Arabidopsis thaliana: one gene and its partners. The protein of the gene in region 1 interacts with the protein of each later gene in a biochemical or structural test. Each region holds a gene or a part of one and is shown on either strand. Other genes may lie near its edges. The genes, in order: MPK6, AGB1, HSF A4A and PHOS32.

Evidence for each region.
Region 2: the proteins of MPK6 (region 1) and AGB1 form a complex in vitro, tested with the Arabidopsis thaliana proteins (one study listed by BioGRID).
Region 3: of the proteins of MPK6 (region 1) and HSF A4A, one has a biochemical effect on the other in vitro, tested with the Arabidopsis thaliana proteins (one study listed by BioGRID).
Region 4: of the proteins of MPK6 (region 1) and PHOS32, one has a biochemical effect on the other in vitro, tested with the Arabidopsis thaliana proteins (one study listed by BioGRID).

The regions. Positions count from the first base shown.
Region 1 is NC_003071.7:18,135,855-18,142,059, reverse strand, and holds MPK6 (MAP kinase 6), read right to left. Parts: upstream 3,815-6,205; 5' UTR 3,584-3,814; coding exon 3,351-3,583; exon of another isoform or gene 3,130-3,350; coding exon 3,000-3,129; intron 2,551-2,999; coding exon 2,413-2,550; intron 2,322-2,412; coding exon 1,989-2,321; intron 1,909-1,988; coding exon 1,728-1,908; intron 1,540-1,727; coding exon 1,367-1,539; 3' UTR 1,072-1,366; downstream 1-1,071. Other genes in the region: AT2G43795 (corepressor), read left to right, coding at 129-230, 324-459, 554-620, 718-925; AT2G43780 (cytochrome oxidase assembly protein), read left to right, coding at 5,009-5,068, 5,395-5,616. UniProt on the Arabidopsis thaliana protein: Mitogen-activated protein kinase (MAPK) which regulates abscisic acid (ABA) responses in a MAPKKK20-MKK5-MPK6 cascade involved in root growth (e.g. root cell division and elongation) and stomatal response.
Region 2 is NC_003075.7:16,475,693-16,481,680, reverse strand, and holds AGB1 (GTP binding protein beta 1), read left to right. Parts: upstream 1-2,060; 5' UTR 2,061-2,414; coding exon 2,415-2,520; intron 2,521-2,592; coding exon 2,593-2,687; exon of another isoform or gene 2,688-2,911; coding exon of another isoform or gene 2,912-2,926; coding exon 2,927-3,351; intron 3,352-3,599; coding exon 3,600-3,957; intron 3,958-4,035; coding exon of another isoform or gene 4,036-4,046; coding exon 4,047-4,160; intron 4,161-4,252; coding exon 4,253-4,288; 3' UTR 4,289-4,650; downstream 4,651-5,988. Other genes in the region: AT4G34480 (O-Glycosyl hydrolases family 17 protein), read left to right, coding at 1-92, 341-534; SK12 (SKP1-like 12), read left to right, coding at 1,201-1,659; AT4G34450 (coatomer gamma-2 subunit, putative / gamma-2 coat protein, putative / gamma-2 COP), read right to left, coding at 4,886-5,080, 5,214-5,453, 5,650-5,823, 5,908-5,988. UniProt on the Arabidopsis thaliana protein: Guanine nucleotide-binding proteins (G proteins) are involved as a modulator or transducer in various transmembrane signaling systems.
Region 3 is NC_003075.7:10,346,601-10,352,566, forward strand, and holds HSF A4A (heat shock transcription factor A4A), read right to left. Parts: upstream 3,303-5,966; 5' UTR 2,452-3,302; coding exon 2,230-2,451; intron 2,153-2,229; coding exon 1,169-2,152; 3' UTR 879-1,168; downstream 1-878. Other genes in the region: AT4G18870 (E2F/DP family winged-helix DNA-binding domain-containing protein), read left to right, coding at 1-270, 367-627. UniProt on the Arabidopsis thaliana protein: Transcriptional activator that specifically binds DNA sequence 5'-AGAAnnTTCT-3' known as heat shock promoter elements (HSE).
Region 4 is NC_003076.8:22,096,125-22,102,446, reverse strand, and holds PHOS32 (Adenine nucleotide alpha hydrolases-like superfamily protein), read left to right. Parts: upstream 1-2,595; 5' UTR 2,596-2,753; coding exon 2,754-3,474; coding exon of another isoform or gene 3,475-3,506; exon of another isoform or gene 3,507-4,564; coding exon 4,565-4,620; 3' UTR 4,621-4,876; coding exon of another isoform or gene 4,877-4,884; 3' UTR 4,885-4,928; intron 4,929-5,018; 3' UTR 5,019-5,527; downstream 5,528-6,322. Other genes in the region: CLUB, read right to left, coding at 1-121, 344-434, 707-890, 1,251-1,432, 1,705-1,934, 2,328-2,391.

The DNA of each region.
Region 1 (6,205 bases):
TCACGTTTTAAAACGTTTCTTTGTTTAGGGCTACTTTGTTCCTCTCTCTGTCATGTTAATCTGGCTAGATTGTTATGTTTATGCTTATTATCTTGTTACCAAAACATTTCTGATGAGGCGAGTCGCAGATGGATGGTTCATTTCATTCACCAGAATGGCATGCAGCTCGTTTGGCCAGTCTCAAGACTACACACACTCTTACTTGGGAAGAATATAAGCAGAAGCAAAAGGTATAGCTGCTGATCGATAAATCGATGTTTTTAGGAGCATCGACAGATAAGAAATGTTTCTCACTCTATATGCTTCATGTGACCGCTCTTTAGGAAGAAGAATTGAAAAAGCAAGAAGTCGAAGCAGATACCGATAAATTGATGCGTGAGTATAGAGCTCAGCTAGATGCTGAAAGGGCAATGAAGCTCTCTAAGGGAAGGAACTATTCTAGTGACATATCCAGGAAAGGTATACACTTACAATAAATTTAAGCAGATGGAATGTCATACAATCCGCAGTTCGAGTCTTGCTTTTCTAATATGCCATTTGATCTTACAGATAGGAAGGAGAGAGAGCTCACAGATAGAAAGTGCAGAGATTCCAAGAGGAAGAAAAGCAAAAAGAGAAAGGTGCTTACATAACAACTGCATCGAGTTTAGTTTGAACATCTTCTATAATTCTGTTGGCTTGAAGCTTTTAGCTTACATTGTGTTTATTGATTTGCAGCATTCGAAAAGGCGATCATCAGACTCAAGCTCATCTTCTGAATCTTCAAGTAGTGACAAAGACGAATCTAGGAAGTCAAGGTCAAGTTCTAAGAGGCCAAAGAGGGAGAGGAAACACAAGTCTAGAGGCAGACACTCAAAACCAAAGTAAAGATGAGGCTGATGGTCCTGCACCACAATCAAAATTCTTTGGCAGTCTTAAGAGTTGACACAGTGCAAGACTTGAGATTGTGTTCATCAAATGCTCAATTTTCACCCCGAGGACATGATTTGTACTATCCTCATCTCCCTGCAATATTTCTCTCCCTGCTGTTTTATAAAACAAGAAAGCTGACAGTAATGGCAAGTATTTTGTAGAGGAATTGAAGGTGGGCTATCATAACATAACTATTTCTGAGACAATTTAAGTCTTAAATAACTGCAACAACAAAATGAGGGCAAATTACAAATACGAATAGGAAAAAAAAAAACAGAGAGAACAAATTATCCAAAAGACTGAAATATAAAGTTTGAGACCCATCCCCTTCAACATCTCTCACAAGTATACACAAAAGACAAACAATGATCTTTCCTCCTTTTAAGAATGTTGTCCAAACCAAATAACGCCAAACCCTTATCTCATCTTCATCTCCCAAATGCTGTTCTTCAAACTATTGCTGATATTCTGGATTGAAAGCAAGCGCCTCGCGGTAGATTAGTTCCTTCATCTGCTCCTCTGAGAGTGCATGGTTTTCAAAATCAAAGTTGAAAGGTATTGTACACTCTGGCTCATCGCTTATGTCGTGCAACGAGTTCAGGTATGGATGGGCCAATGCGTCTAAAACTGAATCAAGAATCGAGAATCAAGAATCAATAAGAGGTGATGACTACTAACTAACTCTTAAATAACCAAGAACTCATTATTATTATTCCTTCACTAGATTGAATCTTTTTTCGGGATTTTGGAATGATCCGTACAAGCAATTCCAGTTATTTTGCAAGTTAAAAATGGTATAGAGGTTAGGGACTAACCTGTGATTCTCCGTCTAGGATCAAATGTTAACATCTTCTCGATAAGGTCTATAGCTAAAGGATGCACTGTCGGGAACTTATCAGTGATGGATTGGCGAGGATAAGGTGGAAGCTGTCTTATGTATCGCTTTGCGTTTTCGTTCAAGAACTCGAGCTCTTCTTCTGATGGAGTTCCTATGAGCTGCAAAAAGAAAATGGTCTCGGTCTGTTTCTTTAGTGCTTCAAAGCTTATTTTTGGGTCAAAGAAGGGTTACTACTTACCTCCATGAGCAAGCGAAGCTGATGGACATGATCTCGTCCAGGGAAGAGTGGCTTACGGTCCATTAACTCCATGAAAATACAGCCTACAGACCAAACATCGATAGCTGCAGTATAATCAGAAGAGTTTAAGAGAAGCTCTGGTGCACGGTACCATCTCGTGACAACATATTCAGTCATGAAATCACTCTCAGAAGTGACTCGAGCTAGCCCAAAATCGCAGATTTTTAGGTCGCAGTTTGCGTTCAGGAGGAGATTACTTGGTTTCAAATCCCTGTGAAGCACATTTGCAGAGTGAATGTATTTCAATCCACGGAGGATCTGGTAAAGAAAATACTGCACAAAGAGACAAGTGAAATGGAGTTCAATTAGTCCCCGTTTTCAAGTCGAGTTATATAGGTCAACAAACAATCTCAAAACTCAAAACCTGGCAATGTTCTTCGGATAATGCTTGATTTGACCGAATGATTTGATGGAGATCAGTGTCCATTAACTCATACGCGATGTAAACATCGTTGAAAGCGTTTCTTAATGGTGGCGGGATAATATCTCTGATTGCAACAATCTGATTTAACAGAAAGATGGTAAGTGTTTTATCAATCGGAAATGTTTTACACGTTGCAAACGCCAACATAGATAAACGGTTACATTTTACGATTTGATTTCTAGAATTTAAAATCTTGACGCAGATGGAAAAGATCATACTACTGAATAAGCGCGAAACAATCCGTATCAAACCGAAAAAAATACAAGCACACTGTGTCAACATTCATGTATATTCCCTTAAATCTAAATGCAATAAGCAACCACCAGATACAACACATTCATACACAGAACCTAATCAGCCCATACAATATCAATCAAATATATACATCATCTATTTACCTAAACAATTTTGCATCAGCTAGTAGTTACCATGTTTCGAGTGTATTTAAATCTACAATCCTATTATGTTCTACATAAGACTCTATAAACAGATGACTCTTAGTTAACAAAGAAAGAGCAAAAACTGACATTTTCATGATCCATGTGACGAAGCAGCTTGATCTCACGGAGAGTCCTCTTAGCATCAATCTTATTGTCAAAAGCGTTAGCAATTTTCTTAATCGCAACGCTCTCGTTAGTTTCAGAATTCATAGCCGAACTGCAAAATCAAAATCAAATAAAACCACAAAAGGATAAAGCTTTCATTGAAACAAAAATAAATCCCAATCATAATTAGAGCTCAAAAACGATACAAAGGAATCAATTTTACAAATTGCGGATCAAAAGTAACCAACTTTACCAAAACCCAATCAACAAAAATCATTTTTTATTTCAATTAGAAGCAAAAGCCAAAAATCAAAAGAATCGGAGAAAAATTACCAAACGATGCCATAAGCACCCTTGCCAATAGGCATGATCGGAGGCTTATACTTAGCGGTGACCTCGAAGATGTTTCCAAATATGTTATACTGAATAAACCTACCACCATGGCTAAGAGTCGCCGGAATATTCTCAATCCCAGGCATCTGAGGCGATGGAGCCGCCGCGGGAAAACCTCCAGGAGCTTCTGTCATCTCTGTATCAGCCGCCGGTTGACCTGAACCACCGTCCATGACCGGTAAAGATGAAAGCTTTTGAGGTTGGTGGTGGTGGTGGATCGAGAAGAGGGAAATGGAAAATCTTTTTTTTTTTTTTTTTTTGTAATTTTGGGGTGAGTGAATTATGAATGAAATTGGAGAAATTGATATTCGTTGGTTTTGGGGTCAAAACAGATCTGAGAGACAAGAAGTGAAAGTCATGTGCGTACGGATCTATTAATTTTTTTATTTTTTTTTGGGTCTTCACTTGACCCGTGTGTGTAAGCAAGCAAGCAAGCCACTGTTCAAAGTTTGATCCTTTATTCTCATGTTTAACACTGTTATGGTTACAAACGGCATCGTTTTACATTGACTTATCACCATTTTTTTTTTTGTTCCATTGACTTCCTTCCTTAATCGTTATCATTAACAAGTAACAACAGCATTTTTTTGAATGTAAATGTTGGGTGAAAATGAATCATAGATAAATGTAGTTATTATCATTGATATTATGTTTTTGGGTTGTACTTTAATTTTGAGATTATTTTTGTAACATGAAAAATCGCTAAATTTTATGTAGATTGAAAAACACAAAAACTTATAAACCGCCAAAAGTTATTAGATAGTATCTAAATTAACTATTTAAGTATTTAAAGTTCTCTATCAAGAATTTCGATGAACTTGATAGTCGTATAGTGTGAATGAGGCCACAACATGAAACATGCTTGGTTGAGGGTTATTTGGATTTTTAAAAAGTATGGTGGTTCAATTTGATAATATTCCAAAATTACAAGGATCATCTCAATATTTTTTACATAATGAAGCAATAAATCTCTTCTCTTGTGTTATACAGTTGGGTTCGAACTCGAGACGGCTTGCTTTCTGCCTCTATCCCTCTTTCACACGAGAGCTCTTACTGGGTTTAGGGTTTTCGATAGATTGGTAAGTGGCCACGACACTAAGCGTCACCGAACCAGTTGTCAACTAAATAGGGAAACTTTAGGCTTCTGTCGCATTTAGGCACGATTCTCTGTAGAAGAAAAAAATATCAGCTTTGTTGTATCTTTCGGATTTTCGAGTGATCATCAAACCTTCATCACCAGGTTCCTTTCGATTCCATTTTAATTTTGTGGACTTTGGAGTAATTTGCTTAAAGAACCAATTTTTGATTGATATTTTCTGCTCTCCTTTCATTTTGACATTTTGATCTGGTTTTGAGAACTTTGGTTGAGTAACAGTAGCCTGCGTTTAAAAGATGTTAGCTTTGGATGTATAGATGTAGAGTTAGGTTTCTAATTGCCTTTATTTTTGCTTTGGTTGATGATTTATGGTTGATTGACTCGTTAAAGGGAAGTGCGCTGATTTTGTGGACAATTATGTTAGACTGATGGGCATGAATGTGACCAATTGATTTTCTCTCCGTTTCCATTATGATGCAGAAGAAAGTTCTATTTTGCTGAAATGTTTTGCAACTTTCAGTTGTTCATTCATACCATGATTGTACTCATCTTTGATCTCGTTGTGAGTACTATCACTTACTCTTGGCGTAGTAGTTCTTAGGATGAGGTATAAGTATAACAATTCGAAAATTCGTCGTATTCAATCTGTGTAATCTGTTTTTCACTATATGAACAATATGTCAATGTCCTGCGATGCCTCAGGGCTTCTGGAGTCACTTCTGCAATGTTAAAAAGAGTAATCAAAAGTTGTTATATCATGCTTCAGAGTTCTCTCTTGTTATTCCTCATCTTAGTATTTATGAAACTGTGATATTGAAGATATAACATAATCTAATACTTCTGATACTTGGGTCTCTTCTGTAACATGTGACACATTGGATCTTGCAGGTTAAAGACTTTGAAGTAATGGCGGGATTTCCAGGTTTTAGTTACCTAGGCCCAAAAGGCAAGAACACGGTTGTAGCTGGTGGCTTGACAGCTTTTGTTTTTGGGGTATACTTCTACACAATGAGGGCGGTTGGTGGCACAGACGAGCTTCAAGTGGCTATAGACAAGTTCGAAGGCCAAAAACAGGTGGACACTGACACCAAGGTTCCATCTAAGGTCTAATCCTCACTGGCTTGATATGTCCAACCAAACCCGTTATTTATCTTTGCTTTCCAAGCTTCTTTTGTCACGAAAGTGGCTCGTTTCTGACATCGAGTGGCATCTGTGTTTGAGTCTCAGTCCAATCTATAATACATTGATTAAACAAGAGAATGTATGATCAGGACATGGTTTTGATGTTCTTGACATTGTCTTAAGTTCTCAACTTTATCATACTCTTTGTACCTAAACGTTTGGTCTAAGCTAAGGTGTGGCTATCCATAAATTTCTGTTACTACGCCGTCAAAATCAATCAAAAGAAACCCAATTTGTCAGCCCAAAAAACATGCAGGAGATGGGTTATTTTGACAAAAAGAATAGTATCGGGTTCATTCCGTCATAAAATAGGGTCTTATCAATATTTTGCAAATAAACCAAAATTAAATACAGACTTGTTTAATTTCTGAATCTCTCTCTTCCTCTTTCTCGCGAGCTTTTTCTCTCTGGGTTTAGGGTTCCGGTAATTTTGCGACGACACCGAGCGATTCGTGCCTCCCTCCCCTTCCTTTGACTTCGGTGCGTAACTTCTTTCTATGTAGGGTTACTCTTTTAA
Region 2 (5,988 bases), on another chromosome or scaffold:
ATATGCCATGAATATGTATTTTCAGAAATCTCCTAAGCAGCCTACAGACTGCGATTTCTCTAAAACCGCAACAGTCACTTCCCAAAACCCTAGTAAGATTTCTCTCCCCGTTACTTTCACACCCTACCAATAGTAGTTTCAACTTAGTAACTTAGTATAAAAAGTTGTAACAAAGACTTAGTAATTGCTTTTGTTTGTTGAAGGTAATGATCAATTCTCTTCTACTATGTTTTATTGTAGCTAGGCCTTGTAAATGCTTTAATTGACCAAATAATCGGTTTTCTACATGCTTTATTATACTAATTGGGTTTCTTAATTATCTTGAATCTGAATTTGATAGGTTACAACAATTGCGTATATCCGGGAGGAGGAGGAGGAGGAGGAGGAGGAGGAGGAGGAAGTAAAGCAGTAATGAACAAGTATGTGAGCTCAGACAAAGTAGAGAAGAAGAATGGAGCAACTGAACCAAAAGTCTCTTCTTCTCTATCTTTTCTACTCATCTTTTTGTCCCTTATCTTCCATGTATATATGTAAATGGCTCAATTAGCTCTTGGAGGTAAGTAATTAATTAATTACGCCTACTTGTTAATCTCCTCTCCTTCCTCTGTATTAAGTGTAATCGAGTTTGTTATTAGTTTATAATGGTTACACACATTCTATCTCAATTGTATTATATAGTCTGTAACGGCTATATCTACTAGACTTCTTTTGGTTTCTTATAAATGAATCTGAATATTATCTTTGGATAAAGTTTCCTATATTCCAATGTATATCTATATCCCTCTTAAATTGTTACATTTTACGCCGTACCTTTATAATTGGGCCTATTGTAAATTTAAACCGGTTTAGCTGGTTCACTTTACTGAATTTACATTTTCTGAAAATAAGGATTTGAGCCGAACCTACAACAAAAAAATGAAAATTTGACCCGGTTTATTTTGGTTTACTCATCTGAAATTACCTTTTATGAAAAGGAGTCGACAAATAATTTACTTATTTTCTTCGGTTAAGGAAAATAACTATTTCCTTCTTAAAAAAGGAATGGTTGATCTCACCGACTCTAGCTAGGGCTTATAAATACAAAGACGCATAGGGTTTCACAACTTCATCACCTTAACACAATTTGTTCGCTCTCTAAATTCTTAAATCTTTCATCAAATTTGCTTCACAGTGAAAAACCTCCTCCACAAGGAACACACAATGTCTTCGAAGATGATCGTGTTGATGAGCTCCGATGGTCAGTCGTTTGAGGTGGAAGAAGCGGTAGCAATCCAATCGCAGACCATAGCGCATATGGTTGAAGACGATTGCGTTGCTGATGGAATCCCTCTTGCAAACGTGGAAAGCAAGATTCTTGTGAAAGTGATCGAGTACTGCAAGAAATACCACGTCGACGAGGCTAATCCTATCTCTGAAGAGGATCTCAACAAGTGGGACGAGAAGTTCATGGATCTCGAACAATCCACCATCTTTGAACTCATCCTTGCTGCGAATTACCTCAACATAAAAAGCTTGTTTGATCTCACATGCCAAACTGTTGCGGACATGATCAAAGGCAAGACTCCAGAGGAGATTCGTTCAACTTTCAACATTGAGAATGATTTTACACCTGAGGAAGAAGAAGCTGTTCGTAAGGAGAATCAATGGGCTTTTGAATGAGCCCATGAATCAAAAACCTAACTAGCTTTCTTTTTCTTTTTTCCTTTTAGTGTTCTTTTTTTTTTTTGCAACTTCTTGATCAATAATGTAGATGATGATCACTTCGTCTACTTTTTAAAATTTTTTTTTTTGATTTGTATTCTCTTGAGATAATCTTTTGTTGGATATTGATATGCTTAACCAATGTGTTTTTATTTTATTTTCTCTTGAGACAATCTTAATTTTATTGGATTATTGATGTTCTTGTAGCCAATTCAGAAAAACAGAATCTATTAGACAAATTAAATTCACGTAGCAAAATAACTAACATGTTTTCTCTTTTCTTGTACTGTAAATTACGTTTCTTAAAAAGAAATATGTAGTTAAAAATCCTTCAAATTCATTATATTGAATCGAAAATCTCGTCCAAAACCAAAAACAATCATAGCTCTTAAACGATATCGTTTAATCATTGTGAGAGGGTCCACTTTAATGGGAACAGTCAATGTCTATTGACCCTCTTCTCTCTCTCTAGCTAGTCTCAGGTCAGAGAAGCCATCATCAACATTCAACAAGAGAGCCGTGTTTGTGTCTTGACTGATTCTTCTCTCAAGCTTTTTTAATCTCTCTCTCTTTTCCCACGTAATTCCCCCAAATCCATTCTTTCTAGGGTTCGATCTCCCTCTCTCAATCATGAACCTTCTTCTCTTCTAGACCCCACAAAGTTTCCCCCTTTTATTTGATCGGCGACGGAGAAGCCTAAGTCTGATCCCGGAATGTCTGTCTCCGAGCTCAAAGAACGCCACGCCGTCGCTACGGAGACCGTTAATAACCTCCGTGACCAGCTTAGACAGAGACGCCTCCAGCTCCTCGATACCGATGGTTTGTGGATTCCTTTTCGTCTCTCTTCTTCTCTCATCTTCTTCTTCTTTAATTTGGATTGAATTTTGCCAGTGGCGAGGTATTCAGCGGCGCAAGGACGTACTCGGGTGAGCTTCGGAGCAACGGATCTGGTTTGTTGTCGTACTCTTCAGGGACACACCGGAAAGGTGACTCAAAGTTTGCATCTTTATCCTTCAAGCATGCTTCTTTGTGGAGTGTTTTCTAGCCTGTGATAAAAAGCTTCCATTTTGGGGTTGTATCTAGTTTGTTATTTAGTTGGTGGTGTTTATAAGATGTTACCAGTTATCATGTATGAGGATTTGCTTAAGATCCTACGGAAATGTAGAGACAGGAGAGTTGATTGTGAATGTTAGCTTGTTGTTGATTTAACATGTGGGATTTGCAGGTTTATTCATTAGATTGGACACCGGAGAGGAACCGGATTGTCAGTGCATCTCAAGATGGGAGATTAATCGTGTGGAATGCTCTAACGAGTCAGAAAACTCATGCTATTAAACTCCCTTGTGCATGGGTTATGACATGTGCTTTCTCTCCAAATGGTCAGTCGGTTGCGTGTGGTGGATTAGACAGTGTATGTTCTATCTTTAGCCTTAGCTCAACGGCGGACAAGGATGGAACTGTACCGGTTTCAAGAATGCTCACTGGTCACAGGGGATATGTTTCGTGCTGTCAGTATGTCCCAAATGAGGATGCCCACCTTATCACCAGTTCAGGTGATCAAACTTGTATCTTATGGGATGTAACTACTGGTCTCAAAACTTCTGTTTTTGGCGGTGAATTTCAGTCTGGACATACTGCTGATGTACTAAGGTATGGATATTGCTTTCATCTCCTTGGCTCATTGGCATCAGTTTGTTTGATAAAGTAGAATATATTTGAAAAACTACTTAATCTTCCAGAACCATACCATTTGGATCGAGTGTTGGAATCAACATATAGGTTTGGTCTTATTGAATAGATACGTTTATTTGACTTGTGTATAAAAGCTAGCATGGATGATATATTGCAAGTCAGTTAAACTCGCCCTCTTACTTGGTGATTATTCCCCATTCTTGCAGCGTCTCAATCAGTGGATCAAACCCAAACTGGTTTATATCTGGTTCATGCGATTCCACAGCACGGTTGTGGGACACTCGTGCTGCAAGCCGAGCAGTGCGTACCTTTCATGGTCACGAGGGAGATGTTAATACGGTCAAGTTCTTTCCGGATGGGTATAGATTTGGGACTGGATCAGACGATGGAACATGCAGGCTGTATGACATAAGGACTGGTCACCAACTCCAGGTCTATCAGCCACATGGTGATGGTGAGAACGGACCTGTCACCTCCATTGCATTCTCTGTGTCAGGGAGACTTCTTTTCGCTGGCTATGCGAGCAACAACACTTGCTACGTTTGGGATACCCTCTTGGGAGAGGTAAGCAATTAGTATTTGAGTAATGAGTGGTGAGAGTTGTTTTCGCTCATGTAAGGTTTATGATTGAAACGTGAGGAGTTTTCTTGCAGGTTGTATTGGATTTGGGATTACAGCAGGATTCACACAGGAATAGAATAAGCTGTTTGGGGTTGTCAGCAGATGGAAGTGCCTTGTGTACAGGAAGTTGGGATTCAAATCTAAAGGTTAGTACTTAGTAGTGTCTCTGCTTATCATTTACCATGTTATGTTTGTAAGGAAATTAGAGGATAGATGAAATTTCGTTGAATTCACACAGATATGGGCGTTTGGAGGACACAGGAGAGTGATTTGAAGAAGATTTAACGAAAGTAGGAGTCACGTCTCCAGTTGTTGGTTAATATATTCTGTAGTCGGGAAGTAAGGTTCGGTTTGTGGAAGGTGTTTGGTTTGAAATAGTGGAGTGGTTAGAAGAATTAAACTTCCCTTTTTGTAGTGTGCTTTGATTTATTTATTTCTTCATTGGGAACTAAACTCCTTCAACACGCTACTCAATGTGAATTCTGTAATCAATTGTGTACCCACCAGTCTTTACTTTACTATCATCTCTTCATATTGAACGCAGACGATAAAACGCTACTATTTTTGAGTTTCTAACTTATGGAGAAAGCCTAGCCTGTTGTACGGTACGGTAGTGGTTTTCAAATCCGAGCAAGATGATCTGTAGATTCCCAACTTGGCGAGAAAACGGGTAATAATAAAATTCAGAAATGAGAAATCAAAAAGCACCGTCATAAAATAAAAAGAAAACCTCCATAGTGTATTTGACAGTAATAATGCAAGGAAAAAAGAAAGAAAGTAATACTATGCTATTTATAATAGTTGATGTATTTTTGAGGTTTAGCAGCAGGAATAGATGACATTCTCTGATACTGAAGAAACGCAAGAGGTTTTAGCCGCTGGCAACAATCTCGTGAATGGCCTCGGCGACAGAAACGTCTTCAGCTCTAACTGTCAGCTTCATTGCAATGTCCTTTGAGCTGTCCATTCCAAACTGTGCCCTCACTAACACTTTCACGTTGCCTATGTACACACCTGACAATAGACACGTGTGTGACCTTGCATTGAGCGGAATTGTCTCCGTCCCCTGTTATTTATCCAGTGTCAGTTTCAATTTCAGGAACACAACAAATGGTCATATACTCAAAAAAGACTTTATCAACAATAATTTTAGCCCTCAAGTCTCAGTAGAGTATGAGAAAAAAGTGGAAGAGACTAACCTCACAAGTCTGCATGCCAAGAAGATCCATGACAGCCTTTACAGCTTCTCCCAAACTCTCTCTTTGGCCAAGGCCATATTCGTCTACACGCTCATCTTCTTCATCCATGCTTTCCCACGCATTCCTGAAATTGGAGACACCCACTTTCACCATGTAATCTCCAGCTACAACCTCAAGATCCTCTAGCTGGTACTCATCTTCTACTCCATCATCTTCTGCTTCACCTGTGCTTGGGTCAACCTGTTTTAACACATTCATAAAAGCACAAACAATGTAGTTAGAGAGTTTTCTTTGTTTTCTGTGATTAATTTGAGTCGTTCTGGTACTCCTCTCCAAATGAGTCGTTGTTTATAAGAGTTCTCCACAAAGTATTATGGGGTCATTTTCAGTGTAAGTAAATAAAAAGATGGAAGTGAATAGCCTATTTAACATGTACCTCCTTAACAACGAAAGTCAATGTGTTGGAGAACTTTCCAACAGCAGGGACCCCAGCTGGCTTCTCAAAAACCACAAAGGCTTGACCGGGTGAATCGTAAGGAAGTGAGTTTAGGGCCTTTGAAGTTACTTCACTGAATTCCTCAGCTTCTGAAGCATCTACAATGACATTGACCTACAACCCCATGCCAAATTAATTAAATGAGGAAAGAAAGATAAGATATGCTTGACACTAATATTCTACACCAATGTTCAGTACCCTCTCCAACAACTGCTCTGGTATTGTGTTAGTGCAGTTGTACTGAAACACCACATGACTGTCAAAGATATGCTTAACAAC
Region 3 (5,966 bases), on another chromosome or scaffold:
TTGTTTAAAGCAGAAAAATTATTTGCACGACTAGTGAAAAAAGTACAGGATCAATTGCCACCTCATAACAGTTATCCAACCTCAAAACTTCCTTTCCCCACCAAAATCTATGAGATGGTGGACGATCCTTCATCGGATGCTATTATCTCATGGAGCCAAAGTGGCAAGAGTTTCATCATTTGGAATCCACAAGAATTTTGCAAAGATCATCTTCGTAGACTCTTCAATACCCTCCATATACATTTTTTCTTCTATAAACTTAAAATATTTGTAAGTTTCTTATATGTTAGTTTTGTAAGATGTAATCATATTCTTTTAGCTAGTTTTTGTTTTGCTTATTAACTTTGAATCTTCTTTTTTCTATAGGGTTTCAAAAAAATTAATCCAAAGAAATGGGAATTTGCAAATGATAATTTTGTCCGGGGTCAACGTCACCTTGTGGAAATCATTATAAGCAATGATAAAAAGAAGAATGATCAACTACGTAAACAGGATGCCAGAGAGAAAAAAATGGCGGAGGCAGGAGAATTGTTTAAGTTGCAAATTGAGGAAATGTCGGATATGAGAAAGAAAATGAAGAAGGCCAAGGAAGTAAAGGAACAAGAGGTTCGACTCTGCAAATTATGAGTTTGTTGGAGGTCAATCTTATTTTATGAATAATATCCATAAGAAGCTCTAGCTTGTCATTACCATTAAAGTTTGTATTTATTAGTTTTCTTTGAGATTATGTTTAATGTTTTTGTTTGTGCAACAGTTGCTTCTTTGGCTTTCTGCTTTCTGTAAAATCCCTTAAAAAGGATGTAATAATTATTCTTTGATTTGGCATAGTACTCGTTATAAGTCTCTTGTAACTTTTCTTTTTTTTTCTTTGTTTGTTTCCGACGTGTTCTTCATAAATTATTGAATGGTATACTGATAAAAGTCTACAACATCATATAGGACTTTGGAAATTATGATTTTGTTGAAGGTCAATCTCATTTTATGAATACTATCCATAAGCTCTAGCTTATCATTACCATTGAAGTCTGCTACAATGAACTGTGAAAGATCATACAAGTGATAAATAAACAGCTGAACCATACCTAAGTACTGTAATCGAAAACAATAAAACTGAGAAACCCTATTTTACAAGTAACTAAAACAGACTAGAAATTTAATCTTTGACATATCAACTTCTCTCTGAAGAAGTCAGATGTCCAAGCTGTTCTGTAATTGCATTAACATTTCTCGAATTCCACCAACATTTCTCAGTACGTACTCCGGCTTTATCTTTATCGTCTTTCCTCTCTAATTGAACTTCCCGTTGCTCGGTTGAGCCAGGATTCTCTGAGAAAAACTGCTGCCAGAAGCCATCATTCGCTCCTGCTACTGGAGGAGGAGGAGGAGCAGCAACAGTGTTCTGTTCTTTCGAACCATCGGGCTCACAGTTCATATCGATGATCCTTGGAGAAGGAGGAGATTTGAGACGTGAATCGACACTTAACTGTATGCAAGAAAGAGGAGGGCTCTCTGGAAAAGTAGATGATTCATCCACATCAAGTGTCATCATACTTCTTGATTGTAACATACTCTCACAAGAATCCGATACAAGATTCTCCCAAATCGCTATCGATGACTCTAACTGTTCCACTTGATGCTCTCTTGTGTGTGAAGAAGGGCTTGTAGAACCTTCCTCTCTCACAACAACACAAGTTTTGTTCTCTTCCAACATCGGTTCATCGGGAAAGAACTCGATCCTAGGGAACCTTCTTTTCCTCTCGTTTGTTTCGGGAACACACGGCGATAGGTTCAAAGCAAGCCCTGGCTTTTCCAATACTTGAGAAACAAACGAAACCATTGTTTTCTGACGCTTCTCCATGTGTTGTAATCGTTCTTTAAGTTCTTTCACTTGCATCTCAAACACTTCTCGTTCCTCGTCTTGTTTATGTAACTCTTCAAGCAATCCTTCTTTCTCTTTTGTCAATCTCTCAATCTGATTATTCATTCTCACTCGTTCTGAATCCGTCAACGGGTTTAACTGAGCTTGAAGATTCGGTAAAGAGTGGCTATGAACTGGTTTGCGTCTATGAATGTTCTTCATAAGATGAGGTTGACCTCTCACAAAATCATCATTCGCAAATTCCCATTGCTCAGGATCAGCTTTTCTAAAACCCTACACACAAAAACAAATTCCACTAAGAAGATGATTGATTTAGTCAATACTTTTAAACAAAGCATGAAAACACTTACATATGTGTTAAGCTGGCGGATAAAGCTAGAGAAGTTATTGTGCTTGAAGAATCTCGGAAGAAGATCTCTAGAAAACTCCGGCGGATTCCAAACGATGAAACTCTTATTGCTCTGACTCCAAGAGACGATAGAATCGGATGAAGAATCATCAACCATCTCATATGTTTTGGTGAGGAAAGGTGGAAGTGAGCTTGATGAAACTCCATGATTATTCTCATCCATCTCTGAAAACACTTTTAACAACTCTCACACTCCTTGATTCAATCTACTCACAACAAAGCTTACAATCACACTCACAAAAACAGAGCCAAAAACAGAGCAAGAGACTCTTTTGATCAAACTATGAAAGTTTCAATAACCAAAAAAGATAAAAACTTTCAATTCAATAACTTCAGTACACAGAAACTACAGTTAAGGAGGACTCAAAGAACTTACTATCAGTAAGTTTCGATCAAAATCAGAAGCCCAAAATTCCCTCCAAAAAAAGCTTCGAACTTGAACAAAGTGAAAGACTAAAAACTCACCACTGTTTCTAAATAAAAGACAATCAAGCAAAAGCTTCTAAGAACCCCTAAAACCCTTGTAAAATTCAACGAATCTAGAACCCTTTTAGCATTAAAATCAAAAAGAAGAAACCCTTATTAGCTTCTCGAACCCTCTCTGCTTCTCGAACCTAAACAGCTTCTGGACTTGGGTATATATATTTTAATCAGACAAGAGAATTTCAAGCAGCAATAATTTGTCTGCTTCTGTATCTCTATCTATACCATTATTGCTGCGGAAATATCAGAGAGAGAGAGAGAGACTCTTTGAGGAGAGAAGACCGTAGAAAAGTAAACGAGTCGATTGACCCGGTGGGGATTTACGACGACGACGATTCGTCAAACCTTTCGTCGATTTTTTATATAACTGATTAGCGATTAAAAACGCGTAAACGATAACAAAAAACGAACAGTTTCTGAGGGATTTGTGATTATACGATTTAGCTTTTGATTACAAAAAGGTTGATGAAGCAAGTACGAATCAGAACAGAACAGCTGTTTCATAGTTTTACAAAGATTGGGTTTGGTGGAATGTTTTATTATTTTATTATTATCAAAATCACCCCATGAGATAATGATAGAGCTGTTTTTGGCATAAAGTTTATTTCTTTCAATTATATAAAAATGTGAATAGTCAATGAATATAAGCATAGAGATCTTGTTTGTTTGTTAATGTAGAAGCATTTATGGCCGTAAGAAAATTCGTTGTTGATCTCTTTTTGGGGTTTATAAACTAAAGAAAAGTCTTTGATTTTTATTTGGAGGACACGAAATCGAAAAGTCTTGTTTTGAAGGATATTCAATTGTGTTTGGCATTTGGTAAATATCATGCCTCCTTTAGTTTTTTCTTTTGGGGTTTTTTTTTCTGTCGAACATCTGAATGTTTTTTTTAAATAATTTTGATGTGCATACGTAAACAAAGATTGAATTAAGGCAGTATCGTTAGTGCAAGAAAAAGTCGGATCAAACCTGAAATATTAAAGTGCTTAGCTTATTAATATATGTTAGTGTAAGATCACTACTTAGCTTATTCAAATGCTATTGAAACGGGATTTCTAAATTCATGTCCAACATTAATTCACTACTGTTTGAGGTAAAAGAACATTGTGGTATTAATCCGGTTCGATCGTTGCACAATATTGATATTTCTTTAAAGAAAAATGCACACGTATGTGCTTAGTTCACTGTCCCCGTCAACGCTATATTACAATATTCCAATACCAAAAATCAATTTAAAATGTTTTAAATTAAAATTAATTCTGCTATAGTATTCACATCCAGTAAGACTAAGACACAGTAAAAAAAAAAGGATCAATAACCTAATTACATTATAGAAATCATAGATAACCAAAAATTGTAGATAACCTACATGTAATCGCAAATACGTATAAAAATGTTAAAATTTGTAACATATAATGTGGTTTATTATTGGTTGTGAATAACTTCTACATGGAATTTAAAAATTACTTTGATAAAGATGAAATATATTGTTTCAACTAATTTGGGTCCCAACTATTGTGGTCGGAGTAGGACGAATTGAGTCCTTCGTTAACTTGTAGTGTTATTGAAGTCATATAAACACAAAATTAGACATATTACACAACGTGTGTTAGTTGATATATATACTTAAGTACACCATATATAGAGAGAATAAGGCAAGTGTGGAATGTTGATAGTACTACACAAATATATAGAGATAAAGGCAAGTGTGGAATGTGGATAGTACTACTACAAAATATTTATTAGTGTCGGATAATAAAAGGCATGTGTAGACAAACACACAAATTGTGTTGTACGTTATAAGAAACTTGGAATCAAAGATGTGTTCTATTTAGCAGTGGTACGAATATTTTTATTGGTTGGGTAACAGATGGTATAAATGTCAAAGAATAGCATACTTATTCTAATTGTTGTCACACACACAAAAAAAGCATACTTATTCTAATTACTATACTTAGGCCATCTCCAACGTAACGGTAAAACTGTATTTTGATGTGATGCAATATACTTTTTCACTCCAACCCAACTGTAAATATTACACTATAATAGTGTGATTCCTTTATTTTGTACAGTACTCCACTATATTTGGCGTGCTACTGTAGCAACGGTAAAATTAAATATATATTTTTTTTTACTTTAAAATTATTACATATGAATATAGCTTATTTAGGTATAGCATATTAAATATGATTTGTATTGTCATCTAATAATTTAATTGAATTTTGTAAGTAAAAAAAAAAAATATCAAAACTATTTATGTATTTTTAATTTTGATAATATGATTATGAAATATTAATCAGTAGAAGATATAAAAATTATAACAAAAGATTTATTGAAATTACATAATAAAATTCAATTAACCATTGAAAATATAAACTTACAAAATTTAAAGCTATTTTGATATATAGATTGTAATTTGTATTAATCAATAAATTAAAAATATTAAATATTAAAAATAATATTTGGTTTAATAATATAATAATAGAAAATATTATTTTTAGTGTGATATATAGTGTTGTGGTTGGAGATTGAAAATATTTTAGTGTTGAATCTACACCAAATATAGTGTTATTTCAGCACCAAAATAGTGTTATGGTTGGAGATGCCTTTAAGACTAAAAAGTAATTAATGAAAAAGAGCAAAGGAGTCACGAGCAATGACAAGTTGATGGCAAGCAGATCGAGAGCATCACGTGACCCACCCGATTTAACGGTCATGATTGGATTTTTTGTGATCCCACGAAAGGTGACCTGTCACATTTTGTAGATGCCGCAATCTCTGCCACGTATTTTGGACTCGCAGTTATTTTAGTTAACTACGTAATTAGTTTAGCTAAATTTATATATTAAGTGTAGCATGATTTTATTCATAGTCTCTATTGGATGTGGATAGTCCGTAGTTGGAAAATGCTGTCATTGAATAAGCATAAAGTTGTAAAATGATAAAATTAGTTATTGTAGAAGCTAGATTTTATTATACACAAAAATAGTGTTTGACACAAAAGAAAAGTTATTATAAAAGCAGCTTGATAGTCTTGACCTTTGAATTCTCAAAATGTAAACACAAACTGTGTCGCATTTCGATTTTCCTGCTTTATTAAAAAAGCCTGAGCACGTGTTAACACATATGGGACATCCTTGTAAATTACAACATACTTTAAGGGTAATTTCGTCTTTTCACAATCAGACTTCTTTT
Region 4 (6,322 bases), on another chromosome or scaffold:
TCTCTAAAAGAATCATCTTGCACAATCTGTGTCAATGGTTTGCTTCCTGGTTTCAGCAGCACAGCTTGGTCATCTTCACCGTCGAATCCTCCAAAATCCCTCTGTTTCCCAGGCATATTAACTGCATTGAAGGTGATGCATGATAGATTATTTGTTCAGAAAAAAAAAACTTGAAAAAAGAAATCAGTTTGTTGGATGAATACTGATCCCAAATGCTTTAAGAGATAAAGATACATGTCAGGTTTGTCAAAACCTAAGAATATAAAATATAACAAATAGACAAAACATGAAATTTTTGCTGCCACGGATCTGCAAGAGAGAGATATAGAGGTAGGAAAAGAACCTGTTTCCAAATAGCAGAGCTCTAGTTCATCATATTCACGTAATGCATCTTCATGAAGATGAGCCATCTCAAATATGAAAGCCAAACTTTCCTGAGACAGCATAGAACATTATGACCTTTAAGAAAATGAGAAAAGTTTCATCAAATGTGACTGCAAGGACCAATGTTGATTTCTAAGCTTGGGGATTATTTTCATACTTCTATGGAAGAAACAAAAGGGGCACATAAATCTCCATCAGAGACTTTATTAAAAAAGTATAAAATCTAACTACAAAAAGGAAGAAACAGGATTTTAAACCATTTTATTCATTTGCGTAGAAGTCACATGTCACTTTCCATTCACAAATTGAGAAGAGAGCTAACCTTCAGGATGAAAAAGTTACAAAAGTTCCATATTGGCATAAACCGCTGCTCACTGAGCTTGCGTATCTCATCCTCGTAGAATTGTGCGCGCCTATCCAAGGTATTCCTGATGCACTCGGTAATCTTTAATTCAAGGTCCTCCCAAAAATTTCCTTCAGGGCCATGTACATCCAGCTTACAGCACCTTAAAAGCATTGCAAAAATTATCATATGAAGACTATGTATGGCATGCATAAATGAAGTAAAACTGATCAAGTAAATAAAAAGGTGTTTTAGCGTTTATCCCGTCTGCATTTCCATAAGTATATAACTTAAAGATAACTTCCTTTAAATGAGTGATTACTGCTAAATGGGTTTAGTTTATGCATCTAGCAAAAATATGAGTGATTGCAATCGTGCAAACTGTTTAACCTAATCTATTTATGTTAGAACTATAGTAGGAGCAATCAAGTCTCATTAGGAATCTGGCATGGTATTTTTTCGGTTCGTGCCTGCTTGTATCAGAGCAAAAAAACATAAACACAGTCCAATCTGCATAGCTTACCTTTCTCTCTTTTTTGAACTGAAGTCAACTTCAAGCTTCGCATATACTTTCTTGACATTTTTAGTTGCTTGATCATTACTTGGATGAGCTTTAGATACAAATACAATAAACCATTCCCTCTCATCATTCTGAACAATTAATTTCAGACGTGGTTTGAGAATGTTTTTAAACTCATCAAGATCCTGCAAGGTCAAAGGTATACTCAGAAAAGCTAGAAGAACAAAAATTGTCGAACCACATAAGTGATAAATCTAACCTAATCCAGAAACCATATACATTAGAAACGGTACCTACTATCTAAACATAGGTTCTTATCTCTTATAGAAAAGGAAAACAGAAACGAATATCATCAAGCACATCATCTTTGTTTCATATTTTGGCACGTGACTACTCTCCACTGCCAAGATTGATACAGAAAAAAAAAACACATATCATCATATCAACAAGCAAGTACCTCACATGTGACAAGAACTATAGTTGCGTATGGTTCTCGAAACCAGAACAAATACTGCTCCTGCGGGAATCGACTACGAAGCCTCGCGTCTGTAGTTAATATGAATTCAACCGGCAAGTTCTCAACAAAAACCGGATTTCGAGTCTTGTTAGTCAAGAATGCTCTTTTTAATGGCTGATGTTCTTCAAATAAACCTTTCACTGTAGGCCACAGATCACACACATCTTCCACTGTAAAAGAATATGCAAGCAACCACTATTACAACGAGCAACGGGAACAATATAAAGAGAAGACATCTTAATACTAACGAACAAGTAGAGTTTAAGATCAGAAACAAAAGAAATCATCATGATCAGTTCCCTTCAGGAATGGATGCTCATTTCTAAGCACTTTTAGCTTCATTCATGAGTATAACCTGACCAACCAACAACCTAACAGATTCATATCATCTGATTTGATCCTTCACCTACATTGAGAAACTTTCCACTAATATATAGCTATGACATCGCAAAATGTGGCAGAAAAAAAAAAGGAGAAATAAGATCCTAATCGAATGCAGCAATCGTAGAGAAACAAAACCCCTAGAAATGTACACATTTGAAAAAAATTGGGGAGAAATTCACCGGCGGCGACGAGACGATCGCAGGAATTCTTAATCGTCTGGAACTGAGCCAAGTAGTTCGCCATCTGAGTCACCGATCTATACGAATCATACGAATAACTCGATCGAATTATACAAAGAGATCAGAATTTGAGTGAGGTTTCGTCTTCTAGCTGCCAGAAAAGGAAGTGGAGGAAATCACCGACGCCGGAGATCTAGTGAATCGTCTTCTTCAAAACTATGGCGCTCAGATTTGATCCTGACCGTTGGATCACTCCTTCTATTAACTACATCTATATTAGAATGCTTGTCGTCTTTGTATATAAATAACGGCATGCAGTCTAATGTTCTATTAAAAAAACAAAAACAACGCTTCTTTCTTCTCCGTTAAGAGAAACCTCCCTCACTCCCACTTTCCGACGAACAAAAACAACATCTGAAAAAAATCATGAATCCAGCAGATTCCGATCATCCACAGCTTCCAAACATCAAGATCCATCACCCTCCATCTCCACGTCACTCTCACCATCACCACTCCTCATCTACTCCCTCCTCCGCCGCAACTCCAACACCAACCGCCGGAGCTCGTCGTAAAATCGGAGTCGCAGTTGATCTCTCCGAAGAAAGCTCTTTCGCCGTTCGTTGGGCTGTAGATCACTACATCCGTCCCGGAGACGCCGTTGTTCTTCTCCACGTTTCTCCAACCTCCGTCCTCTTCGGTGCCGATTGGGGACCTCTCCCTCTGAAAACTCAAATTGAAGATCCAAACGCTCAACCTCAACCTAGTCAAGAGGATTTTGATGCTTTTACTTCAACAAAAGTTGCGGATCTAGCTAAACCGTTGAAGGAGTTAGGGTTTCCTTATAAGATCCATATAGTGAAAGATCATGATATGAGAGAGAGATTATGTCTTGAGATTGAGAGGCTTGGTCTTAGTGCTGTGATTATGGGAAGTAGAGGTTTTGGTGCTGAGAAAAAAAGAGGAAGTGATGGCAAGCTTGGCTCTGTTAGTGATTACTGTGTTCATCACTGTGTTTGTCCTGTTGTTGTGGTTAGATATCCTGATGATCGTGATGGACCTGTGCCTATTGTTACTGTCAAGTCTGGTGGAGATGATGATGGAGATGTTGTTGCTGCTTCTGCTTCTGCTCATCATGAACACATCAAAGGTCAGGGATCAATTATCTCTATCTCTATGTGATTCAGTGATTGATTAGATAAGCTGCTTTCGTTGTTATTTTTTTCATGGATGTTTCTGTTGATGTGTCAGATTTAGATTCAGTAGTGTAGTGAGTGTTGTGAATTTTGTGATCACGTGAATATGTTGTGAAAAAGATTGCCATAGATGGTAGCACAGGAAAATGAGATCCTTTTATAGCTGAACTAAGATGATTTTGTCGATTTAGTGAGAAATGCTGTCCATGTTCATTGCCTTGCTTACCCGAAAATTGAGGATGATGGTCATGTACATAGATGATTTCCTAGCTTTAGTGTATTCGTTCTATGAATTTGTATATATCTTCTTCATCTGCCGAAACTGTTTCTATTTACTGAAGTTAGTTGTATAGTATATATCATAATTTTTGGTGGTTATGGCTAATTTGCTGTAATATATGTTAGAAGATTATTGTTCCCCTACACATGGGACAAAGAAGCGCCGACATCGTTCTATTTCTTGCATTGTTTACACTACCCATTGATTGCGTTTAGACTTTAGATTAAAAGTACTCTAGTCCAGAGGAAAGTTTCTTTTGACCCTTGAAGATAAACTTTTCTAAGTGAGTTTGTTTGATTTATTTTTCCTCTGTTCGGTTTAGTTTGAGGCAACATTAAGTATCATTAGCATCCAAGTATTATGATTCTTGACTTGGGAAAAGGCAGATAAGAAATTATGTCTTCTATAACCCCTCATTTCGTAAGTTGGTGACTGTATACTTGTTGTTGTATGAAACATTGAAAATCAAATAGTGCAGTAGTTCTAAAAAGGAAGCTTCAATTATACTTTTTGTTGTTGTTTGCTTTGGTCCAGACTAGGAAAGGTTACAATGTTAACAGAGGAAAATTTAGGAAAGAATGGGAATATGTAGGAAGAATCTGGTTAACATGCCAAAATTTTTTTTATCTATACTCTTGGGTAATGTTTAGATATCAAATCTAACTGAGATGTAGGCACTACCTTCTTACTTTTATGACAAGTTCAGATGAAAACTTGTCAAATAAAGTTACTGAGTTTCGTAGATTGCTTCTTCTGTAAGATAGTCACTGGTGTTAGTTCTGGAGCATTTGGTATACGTTACAAGATCGGAGCTACCTAGTGAATTTGTAAAAAGATCTGAATGTACACTGATAAGGTAAAAAGGCTATTATCTATAGGTTACATTTGTTATCTCCACCATACTGCATCACGACTAGCAATGTATAATCTGCATGATATTTTAAGTGATCCCTCTCTGTGTATCTTCGAACAGTGAAATGTGTGTTGTGAATAAAGTGTTATTCCAGTAGATATATCTATGATCTGACCAAATGACAATGTCTTATTCCTTTTTTGTTCCTGTATTTCTGTCACAGATGAGTGATGATTCGTGGGATCTAAGTAATATATCACCCTCTTCTCTTCTAGGTAATATAAAACTCACATCAACGATATCTGTAAGCTTATATGGTCTACCTGTCTCTTGATTATCTTCTTCATGTTTTTGGAATTAATAAGGTACACAAAGCAAGTAGGGGTGTTAGCGGAATGTTCAGAGGAGTGTTGAATGTGTGTTCTTTCTTTAGCTATGACAATGTTGATGAATTTCTTTGGGTTATGTAATATGAATGAGTGTTGAGTGGTTTCTGCATTAAACATGAAGGAGTTGTATGATTAATGAACCCCTTTTAGGAAGAAGAAGGATTATACGTTTCTTTAATAAAGACTGGTATTTTAGAATTTAGTTACATGGTAACATCAAATAAAGATTTGGTTGATTTATGGTTTTGGTTTGACTTGTTGGAATTTAGGTAAATCTAAGGATTGAAGTTATGAAAGATGGATTTCTCCAAAAGAAAAAGAAAAATGAAACAACCAAAGAAACAAAAATGTTTGGTAATTCGTAAAACTTGTTTGGTTATTAGGTCTAATTTCTTTTGCAAATTTAGAGTAGATGACTATAATTATCGGATTTTACATCTTTTCACGCGGCGGATATGTACAAGAAATTTCTTCCTTTTACATCATTTTTTTTTTTTTGGATTCAGTGTTTGTTTAATCAGAAACAGGGCATGAATATACGGAAAACCATATGACAAATATACCTATAGATCTCACATATAATACAACGCTAAATTCACAAACAATTTAACTTGATTTGACAAACAAGTTCAACTGTGAGAGGCACGGATCAAACAATGGACATCAAATCTGTCCCTTCAGTTCTCAGTAGTCCTATTTTGATTAATCCTAATGCTCTTTGGTACAAATCTATATTCTTGCAAATGTAATGTTCCTTTGAGTATCTAGTTTAGACTGATACACAGACAAGAATAATGGACTTCTACATCACAAACACTAGACAGTCAGATAAACTCACATTCCAAGAGGTGAAATGGTCACACTAACCTCTATGTACTTATAGCAAGTCTTCCTAACATGACACGGTCCAAATTTCAGTATCCCCATTCTTGAAAACACCTAGTTTTGGCTTCAAAGCACTTTAACTAAAACCACTGGGTCGCGAAAACTATAGATTCTAGAAGAGAAAGCTGAAACAGCCTCTTAGAAATCCAAGCATTGGCTGGGAAAATACAATACAAGAACTTGACAAACTCAATGAGACAATTGGCTTGAGATGTTAACACCAACGAGAATGGTTTGACATGAGGGAACAAAAAAAACGCATAAATAGCATACAAGTCATTAGCTAATGTAATGGTTTGACATGAGGGAACAAACAAACGCATAAACAGCATACACGTCATTAGCTAATTAATTTAAGAACCGGTACATAGTTAACATGTTGTAACAGTGGAATA